3 linked regions of the Daphnia pulex genome follow. The main gene of each other region encodes a partner of the protein of the gene in region 3 in a complex. Links are inferred from orthologs where the notes say so. Each region holds a gene or a part of one and is shown on either strand. Other genes may lie near its edges.

Region 1 (2,346 bases), on a different chromosome or scaffold from region 3:
TCATCGGGGGTTGGCTCTTGAGCAACTACGGCGATTTGGTCTGTAACGGAAGTTTGTCGGCAGCACTATTTTTCGGCGCTGCTCTATCGCTGTTCATCCGTTCGGATCTCAGACGCCAAAGAGCCAACCAGATGGAAGCGTTTCGAGCAAACGAAGCTATCTAAGTGTCATCAATCGACTCTCTGAGCTTCACCAGTAAGAGCTTTGCCTGTCTCCAAGAGATGCCACATTTGCCTCACGCAATTTCGAACAAGTTGATTTGCTTATTGTTATAGATATGTAGTTAGGTAAACTTTGTGTCACTGTATTATCTGCCATTTCAAAATGTTGCTTCCTTCAATGTGATTGGCTGCTGCACAAAGTTTGCGGCTATACCGTGAATCCGTTACGACGATTTCAATGGGGGAAAAAAAAGTAAAGTGATTGATAGTTATAGACTGTATGTATACTTATATATATAGCTTATAGCCTCTCTCTTTCGGTTCCGGTCTAAAAGAGTTTACATTTCTGTGTTATTACTAATGTAGTAAAATTGCTGTCTTCCGTACAATGCAGGGAATGGAAAGCAAAGTTCAAACCCAAGTTAGCTTCATTACAGAGTATTATGCATTCGATTCTTTATGAGCCTTTGACGTTAAAGTTGTTTTCACTTTTCACCACGACCCATTTTAAACTGACCAAATCATTTGGTTTGGATGATGTGACAGTTAACAATTATTGCGCCAAATAAAATCTAATGCCACCACGTTCACGTTTTTTTTTTCACCAATAAAAAAGAAGGGTGTGAAACCCCTCCCCCGAAAAAAAAGGTGGGATCCCCATCAACTACTATCACTTTGCTATTGTGGGCTTGCCACAACATCAAATTTTATTATTTAAAAAAAAATACTTAGCTTATTTCCCAAAAGGGGTTTGGGGAGTGAATTTTATCACTGATATGAACAAAGAACAAAGTTCATGAAATAAATTACCTCTTACTATGAGTACGAGGTTATAAATTATAAATTATAAATCTTGACAACAATAAATAATTTGTTTATTTATCGGCAATTCGCAATTCGATTTGGCGCTTCGAACTTGGTCTACGTTACCACGACTTGGCAACGCTTTTTTCTAAACAGCTGACGAAAAAGCATGGGCGGAAGTATGTTGGAAAAAGGGGACGACATTAATCGAAGCAACATTTTTCAACGGGTAATTTGCGATTGTTAGAGGTAAAATTCCATCACTATGATTATTATCTAACATTCTCAAGTTACATGATGCTTGATTTCCCTTGCAGATATAAATGGTGGCATTTTAAACTCTGTATTATGGTACGAAGTTTTTGAATGAGAAGACATTGATCTTACGAAGTTATCAAAATGTTGATGTTCTGTCCCACGTGTGGAAATCTTTTGGGTGTTGAAGAAGGACCCAAGTGTTTCCGATTCTCTTGCCGTACTTGCCCTTACGTATTCAACATTAATCGAAAAGTTAGCAGCAAATCATTCCCCAAACTTAAGGAAGTGGATGATGTATTAGGAGGAGTTGCTGCCTGGGAGAATGTGGATTCCACTGAAGCAACTTGTCCCAAGTGTGACCATTCAAGAGCTTACTTTTTGCAGATGCAGACACGATCTGCAGATGAGCCTATGACCACCTTTTACAAGTGCTGCAACCACGAGTGCTCCAACCTGTGGCGTGATTAGACACAACCTGCCTTCAAACCCCCACTTTCTTTTTTTCATGTTAAACTCAACTCATTATCGCCTTTAAAATTGTCAAATGATCAACCCAGTCATCCTCCTTGGGCCCAAGAACTCCGCAGCCATCCTAAAAAATGCAGTGGAGCTTCTGAAATCGGGCAGTGTGATTGCTCTTCCAACAGACACTTTATATGGGATCGCTTGTCTGTCCCAAAGTTCAGAAGCTTTGAAAAAACTTTATCAAATCAAATCGCGAGACAAGAATAAACCGGTTGCTATTTGCGTGTCGCAAGTTAGCGAAATCGCCAAGTGGGGACACGTTACAGTAGATGAACGTCTACTGCACGACCTTTTACCTGGACCCGTCACCCTTGTGTTCGAAAGAAGTCCTGCCTTGAATCCTGAACTCAACCCCGGAACTAAACTTGTTGGCATTCGAATTCCGGACTCTTGGTTCATTCGTCAACTGGCAAATAGCTGTGCTGAACCTTTAGCGTTGACTAGCGCCAACATCAGCGGATCTCAGAGTACTCTATCGGTGGAAGAATTTCTAGGGATTTGGGAGCATCTCGGGGCTGTCTTCAACGGTGGCCCTATTCCAGACGGCTCTACCGCTCGACTAGGATCTACTGTTGTCGACTTGTCGTCACCTGGCACC
Region 2 (2,635 bases), on a different chromosome or scaffold from region 3:
AGAAAAAAAAAAGTCCTGAAATATCTCCCACGTCTTTTTGTTTTTTTCTCTCCGACCCCCTTTACCATTTACTCTTCCTCCAAGGAGTTAGCACTCGGGCGATATACACACAAAATATGTTCTCCATATTGATTCTGTCCATCTTATTTTGATCCCGTCATTACAATAAATGAACAGAAATGTGCAACCAAAATGACAATCTTATTTATTCAAGTGATGTCTAACCTAGAATCAAGTTTGGTTCACCCCGGAATGAATCTTCTGTCAAGTGTTTCGAATGTTTCCGTCGTTATCCTGCTGTTAATGGTTAGGATGTTGGAAGGAATGTTGATCGACTAAAAACAAATAAAGATAAAATAACGGCTGTCGAGAAACCTTGATGGATAACGGTGGTTTCGTTGGGCACATGGTGTAATGGTTAGGCAATTGAAACATTTCGCTGTCATCTCATGCTTTCTCGGATTTAGTAATTTGTTTACATTCAGAGTTGAGTTTTTAACGAACGTGAAAATGAGAATCGGGGTTAAAACAAATTTATTCTGGCAAAGTATTTTGAATGAGTTCTATGAGCTCCTCAATTTGTTCTTCAGTCAACCGTTCCTGATCTGTAGATTGGACAATCTAAAAAGGTTTGAATCACTGATTAAGACATGGACAATTCTAGTGGCATGCATAGCTTTTATACCAGTGATATTTCAACGTCAGTTTTAGGCCTCAGATTCAAGATCATGGTTTTCTCTTTTTTAGTCAGTCCAAACTTTTTCACATCCTCGAGAAATTTCTTGAAGCAACCCTCAGACTGTACTGCAGCTGGCGTGCCTTCAAGATATTTTATGGCCTATAGGCAAAAAGAAACTGGTGAATCGAAGCAGATACACATTGAAATCATTTGAAAAAATCCTTACTTCATACGTGATGGTGGCTAAGGACCCACTTTGATTCCTGGTTTGGTCTCCTTTGACTCTTGAACTGTTCAAAAGTCCCAGAACCTTGAAGAATGTTAGATTACAAATAAATTATTCAAAGCCACACATTCTCCAGTAAACAGGTTTTACCTACCTCAAAATTGCTAAGTATAGCCGTGTTTGCATCGATTCTGTAACACAAACAAAAAATGGGGTTGAGTGGAAGTTCATGGACAAATTTATACAATTAGCTTACATTTCCATTTCAATTACGATCAGTAGCCAGAAATGCTTGAAGATTCCAAACACGAGCAGATTGTTTTGAAAAAAATGCACGTTTTTTTAGAGAACTTTTCTTCACGCTGCAGTTGTAGGCAACGATGTCATTTGGAAACCGCGGTAAAATTATTTCGATTTCAATTCAGTTTTATCAATTCTATCTATTTAAAGAAATTTTGAAAATAATCCAGCAAGTATTATGTAATTTTCGTTTGATCAAAATTATCTTGTGGTTTTTAAAGGCACGAAGAGGAAGCAACGCTGTAATTGCTGTCTGCTAAATATTGGTAAACATTCTCTTTGGATGAGGTTTGCAATGTTGAAATCATGTCGTTGCTTTCAATTGCTACCTTGATTATTCAAAGAAAAAAGCCGACCGCACCGCAATATCGCAAGGTAAAGGTGCCCTATTTACTCTCTTTAGTATTTGAAGGTTTTCTTTGCTTAATCTACCTCGTGGGCATGTTTATTTCGTAAGGTTGATTCACCATAGTAAGCCATAAAAGATATATATGTTATCTTATCGCTTATCAGCAAGAATCATAGACCTATTACAACTACAGGTGAAGAATACAGGCAAGGCATAATCCTAAATTTTCTGTTGATGTAAATTATATTCTAACAAAGTAAAAAAAAATTGTATAGAGCAATGGATAACCAACCTAGTATTGTTGAAGCAGATGCTGTTCATCATAGGTTGAGTAATCAAGTCAATACAGTCAAAGATTTTCCCTATAGATGCTATGACTGCCCACAGTTATTTACTGCATTGGAAGACTTGGCTCAGCATTCCATTAAAAACCCAACCCACAGTGAAGAAATGTGTTTAAAGTGCAAGAAATCCATTGTTGTATTCTTTACATCTAAATGTGCAGTGAGAATTCACTCTTGTAACAAATCTGATGTTTGTCACAATCATTCAGATCTTCACTTTCACAGTCAGTTCCTTTTTACCAAATTAAATTCATCAGGTTTGATTCCTGATTACACTGTTATAGGATGTGACCTTCAGAGCTGTGAAGCTAGTTTTGATTTTTCAGCCAATGGTATCTTTAAGTATTTGAAACACGTCAACAGATACAAGCACACAACTGTTCCCGATTGCAGAAAATGTGCGTTACCAGAATTCCAATTAAGTGTCGGAGGAGAGAAAACCATTTCCCACTATTGTGTCAAAACTGGAAAAATTATCTGTGTTGGGAAACCTGTATTATCAGTTTCTAGTCGTTAGAAATCGTTCTTTTTTGCGCCTGTTTATCATGAAATGTTTTTTCTTTTATGTTTAACTACTTCCCTATCCTCCTTATTAACAAAAAAACCCGCGATTTACATGTCTACAAATTGACACACCCAGATGTTTTTGTGATGTTTGGCAACAATGTTTAGTCGTTAAGGAAATTTCTAATGTTTATCAACAAAAAATTCGGGACACACGGGAAAAAAAGAATACA
Region 3 (4,390 bases):
TTAGTCGTGATTATTTTTAATTCTATACTTCAAACTTCGAAAGAGATGTATAATTTGCGCGGATTGGCGCCATTTTCAAACATTGAAATTTGAACATTTCTATTTGTCCATCCAAACGATATTCATTCAAGTAATCATTGGAAACAAATTTAAATTGTGAAATTAAGTAATGTATTATTGCCAACTCAAAATTTATGTACGTAGCGCGAATGATCACATAGTAATAATAAATCACAAGTCACACATTGTTTGAATCAGCAAAGATGAATAGTGATTTCCCCACCTCAAAAGTTTTACAACACTACGACAAATGAATACAGCTATGATCGATGTAGATAATTATAGAAGATATAAAAAAATAGTCTAATAAAAAAAATTGAATTGTGGTCGACCCACTCGGAAGTCATTTTCACTTTGAACTGGTGTACTTGGTGACAGCCTTGGTGCCTTCCGAAACAGCGTGCTTGGCCAACTCGCCAGGTAGGAGGAGACGTACAGCTGTTTGGATTTCACGACTGGTAATGGTCGAACGCTTGTTGTAATGGGCTAGCCGCGAAGATTCTCCGGCAATCCGCTCGAAAATGTCGTTCACGAAGCTGTTCATAATAGTCATGGCCTTGGACGAAATTCCAGTGTCGGGATGTACCTGCAGAAAAGTTTCATCGATTGTAATTACACGATTATACACTATAAAATATCACGAAGAGAAACAAAACATTTACCTGCTTCAAGACTTTGTAGATGTAAATGGCGTAACTCTCCTTCCTCTTCTTGGTACGTTTGGTCTAAAGAAAACAAGATGTGAATCAAACTCGTTCAAAGTTTATAACACGAAATTCTTACCTTTTCACCAGACTTGTTGAGACCACCCTTTTGAGTCTTTCCTGCCTTTTTCGCTGCTTTTCCACTTGTTTTTGTAGGTGACATGGCCATTTTGATGATATTCTTAACTGGAACTCGACTGTGAGCTGATAGAATCTGGGAAATTCTGCTACAGAAAACCTAGACGACGTTGGTTTTTATACTCTTTCCCCCCATTTTTCGGACAAAGAAAACTCCCTATTTGCAGTCATAACTCCGGGGTACAAACCCATCCTCCTTCCACTTTTTTGTTTTCAGACGTTTTCTTACTCTTCCTCTAACCTCAAGTTAATGGATTTGTTTAATTCATTTAAAAGGGGATAATCTTTTTTCTCAGAAAGAGAAATAAACTATGAGCAAACTCTGTCTAGCCACGAGGTATTTTTTCGTTAGCCTTCCACGAATTCATATGCATTTTTTAAAGATTTTTTAAAGAAACTATTTTTTGTTAGGGCATATTCCGATTATTAAGTTTAATTGAAAAAAAATCATTTTAAACCTATTCAAAGCAAGGTCAAATGAGCTCCAATGAAATTGTTGTTTGCCATACTGAAAATAAGTTAGCCAGCCAAATAGGTTTTTAAAAATAAATATATGTTTATAAAATCTGAAGAAATGCATACAGCATTTATTAAATTTCGTGTCTATTAAATAATTTCGATGATTTATCAAATAGGATTTAATATGACCCATTTCCAGCAGACGACTGCCTCCCCATTTCACGATTTGAAGAATAATATTGTGCAGTGCTGTCTGCAGAGAATTTGCTTTCCCACGTTGTGGGAGTGATATCTATGATTTGTGATATCTAATTTATAATTTGGCGTCTAGAATCTGAAAAAAAATGTCAAAGTTAGAAGAGGAGAATGATGAAGTTGTCAGAGAGGTGGGAATTGGGTGTTGTTGCTGTATTCGGCGTGAATGTTCTCACATGTTTATGATTTTTACAGATCCCAGTCTTTTTGTCAAAGAATTTGCTTCAGAAACTCTATGTTTTCCAATATCCACTTCGTTCTGTTGCAGTTGAAATGGAAAGACCTCATGTTGCTGCTGTAAGTATTATATCTTGCATGCAACTCGATTTCAATATTAATGTGAAACATTTCAGTCAAGGATTAAGCCTAAACTTCAGGAAGTTGAATTAGAGCTTGAATTACCAACACATACACAAAATTATGATAGGAGCAAAGCTGAGCAAATTGTTATTAATACAGATGGACAAAATAAATATGATAAACCTGATCATCAGAACTTTTTCAGCGGGTAGGATTGGTTCGTAATATATTTACTTCAACAATATAATAAGTGTTTTCTTTCTTTCATGAAAGTTCATTTATGGATAAAATCACCTATTCTTCCACAAAAGCACTTTTGGATCCAGGAAGGTTTGCAGTTGGCATTGTAGTTGATAATGAACTTCATCTCAATCCATTGCATGGAATTCTACATGTAAAACCCAACTTTCCATACTTGGACAAATCTGAAAAAAATCTAAAAGATACTGATGAACCAACAGGTTAATTTCTTAATGCCAGAAGCATTGTTTCAAATTTATTAAAGTTCTTTGTGAATTTTATAGAGTCAGGTGATGAGGAAGAAGTTGCTGAACAAATCACTGTGAAATTTGCTCGAACTGAAACAGACAGAAGCAAAGCCCTCAGAGAAAAGTCTTTTGGGTTCCTCCAAAAAAAGAATGCAGAAGAACCCTGGTACAATACCAAATTCTATTCATTAAATTCTGAGGAATCCATGGTATTTATATCACAGTATTAAAGGTTATATAATCAATAGAATTATTGTTTGATCATTTGTATAGTTGGAAAAAAACCGTCTCATCTGTGGAAAATCGGATACAGTTCAAAATCTAACCATGGCAAAAGATAAATACATCAGCGATTTGATTGGCCCTAGCCTAGAGATTGATGAATTTCAGAAACAACTTACGTTAGGAAACGCGTCAATGTTTCAAATTCTTAAACTGCCTCAACTTGTAGATAGAATTAAAAATCTCATGGCTAATGGTAACTTAAATGTTGAAATAGTATTACCACATCGATAACCAATTTCTATCTATAGTTAAGCTGATCTCGTTCAGTAAGTTGTGCAGTACCCTAGAAATCAAACAGGAATCTGTTAAAATGGAATCGCTGAAATCGCTGCAACAGGTGGCTGAGTTGGTCCAAGGTAACTGGGTTGTCAAGAGCGAAATCCTTTATCCGAGCGGAGAGAAAGACAAAACGGTTAAATTGTGTGGAATTTCCGGAATTCATCCTGATATCATCAGCAAAGCCAGGGATTATGTGGTAAATAGCCTCCTGATGATTTGTTTTTTTCCTGGCGACTGTCATAAAGTTCTAACATTTATGTTTTGATTTGATATAGTTGTACATGTTTACTCTAAACCGTTGTGTGAACCGAGAAGCAGTCACTATTGCGACTAAAATTCCTACTGATGAAATGAAAGTTATTCTGGAGCAAATTTCCTTCAAGACCAAGGACGGATGGGAATTCAAATTGCCTTTTGATCAAGCCTTTGTTGACAAGTGCGTTTCAATTCCTTTCCAATGATTTTTGTGTTTTAATGACATTTTATTGCGAAAACAGGTATCCGGAAGTGGTTAGGCGCAGCGAATTGATGAATAAAGCTAAGCAGAAGCAACTTTACAACGTCGCCGAATTTAAAGCTCCGAAGAAGGAACCCACCGATACAATAAAGAAAAGAACAAGGCGACGCTCTCGACAAGATTCGTGCAGCTCAGACAGTGGAAATGACGTTAAGAAGTAATCGCAGTTGAACATGAAAAAGCGGATATTAAAAATCTTCTAGTACACTTTTTCTACCCTGCAACAGTCTCGCTGTTCATTTCATTGTTTTGACCTTGATTGTTCAGTTCGTGCTCTTGTCGAAAAATGAAATGGTTGACTGGCGAAAGTAACTGTATCTCTTTTCTACTTTTGATTTGTACGTAGAAATCTCAAACCGTACCAACAAAAATAACTGCAAGCCTCATCCACATTTTCACAAGCCCTCTGGAATATAAAATTTCGAAAGGATTTTTTATTAATATGAAAATATGTACACTTTTTAATCCTGGAACCTGGATCTACTGATCTACTCTAAGCTTTTTCATGCGACTGTTTTTTTTTTTCTTGTAAAATTGTTTGTGTTAATAATAAAATACGGAAACGATACATCCTCATATAAGTTTTTCTGGTTGTTTTTGCCACGAACTCAGTTTTGTGTTATCAATGATAGGTTAGGCAACCGTCTGCTAGAACTGATTTTAAGATTAGATCGTAGATTATAAACATCCTGGTTGCGTAAACCGATACAGCAAAAGAAAGGGGAGGAGCTTATTACAATCGTCTGAAGAGTTTGTTTACTGCTTTAAAATCAAGTTTTACACGTCAGTCATTTTTACACGTCAAACAGTCAAAGAATGTTGCAGCAAATATTTTAGATACTATATAAAAAACTATATGTGAGTGCTGAGAATTCAATTTCCTTAAATGCTATTGTGAGTTTGTT

The links.
Region 1: DNA-directed RNA polymerase III subunit RPC5-like (region 3) and DNA-directed RNA polymerase III subunit RPC10-like share a complex: the UniProt entries of both Homo sapiens proteins name them as parts of the RNA polymerase III complex. The link is inferred for Daphnia pulex from reciprocal best matches to the Homo sapiens genes POLR3E and POLR3K.
Region 2: DNA-directed RNA polymerase III subunit RPC5-like (region 3) and DNA-directed RNA polymerase III subunit RPC9-like share a complex: the UniProt entries of both Homo sapiens proteins name them as parts of the RNA polymerase III complex. The link is inferred for Daphnia pulex from reciprocal best matches to the Homo sapiens genes POLR3E and CRCP.

Annotation. Positions count from the first base shown.
Region 1 is NC_060019.1:12,453,294-12,455,639, forward strand, and holds DNA-directed RNA polymerase III subunit RPC10-like, read left to right. Parts: upstream 1-1,364; coding exon 1,365-1,691; downstream 1,692-2,346. Other genes in the region: feline leukemia virus subgroup C receptor-related protein 2-like, read left to right, coding at 1-164; yrdC domain-containing protein, mitochondrial-like, read left to right, coding at 1,768-2,346. UniProt on the Homo sapiens protein: Core component of RNA polymerase III (Pol III) which synthesizes small non-coding RNAs using the four ribonucleoside triphosphates as substrates. Can mediate Pol I proofreading of the nascent RNA transcript.
Region 2 is NC_060023.1:11,613,652-11,616,286, reverse strand, and holds DNA-directed RNA polymerase III subunit RPC9-like, read right to left. Parts: upstream 1,170-2,635; coding exon 1,162-1,169; intron 1,097-1,161; coding exon 1,060-1,096; intron 990-1,059; coding exon 906-989; intron 839-905; coding exon 686-838; intron 622-685; coding exon 535-621; downstream 1-534. UniProt on the Homo sapiens protein: DNA-dependent RNA polymerase catalyzes the transcription of DNA into RNA using the four ribonucleoside triphosphates as substrates.
Region 3 is NC_060017.1:5,953,627-5,958,016, reverse strand, and holds DNA-directed RNA polymerase III subunit RPC5-like, read left to right. Parts: upstream 1-1,548; 5' UTR 1,549-1,705; coding exon 1,706-1,747; intron 1,748-1,811; coding exon 1,812-1,913; intron 1,914-1,969; coding exon 1,970-2,124; intron 2,125-2,189; coding exon 2,190-2,377; intron 2,378-2,440; coding exon 2,441-2,613; intron 2,614-2,677; coding exon 2,678-2,882; intron 2,883-2,937; coding exon 2,938-3,164; intron 3,165-3,243; coding exon 3,244-3,404; intron 3,405-3,465; coding exon 3,466-3,646; 3' UTR 3,647-3,793; downstream 3,794-4,390. Other genes in the region: histone H2B-like, read right to left, coding at 410-646, 723-785, 844-933. UniProt on the Homo sapiens protein: DNA-dependent RNA polymerase catalyzes the transcription of DNA into RNA using the four ribonucleoside triphosphates as substrates.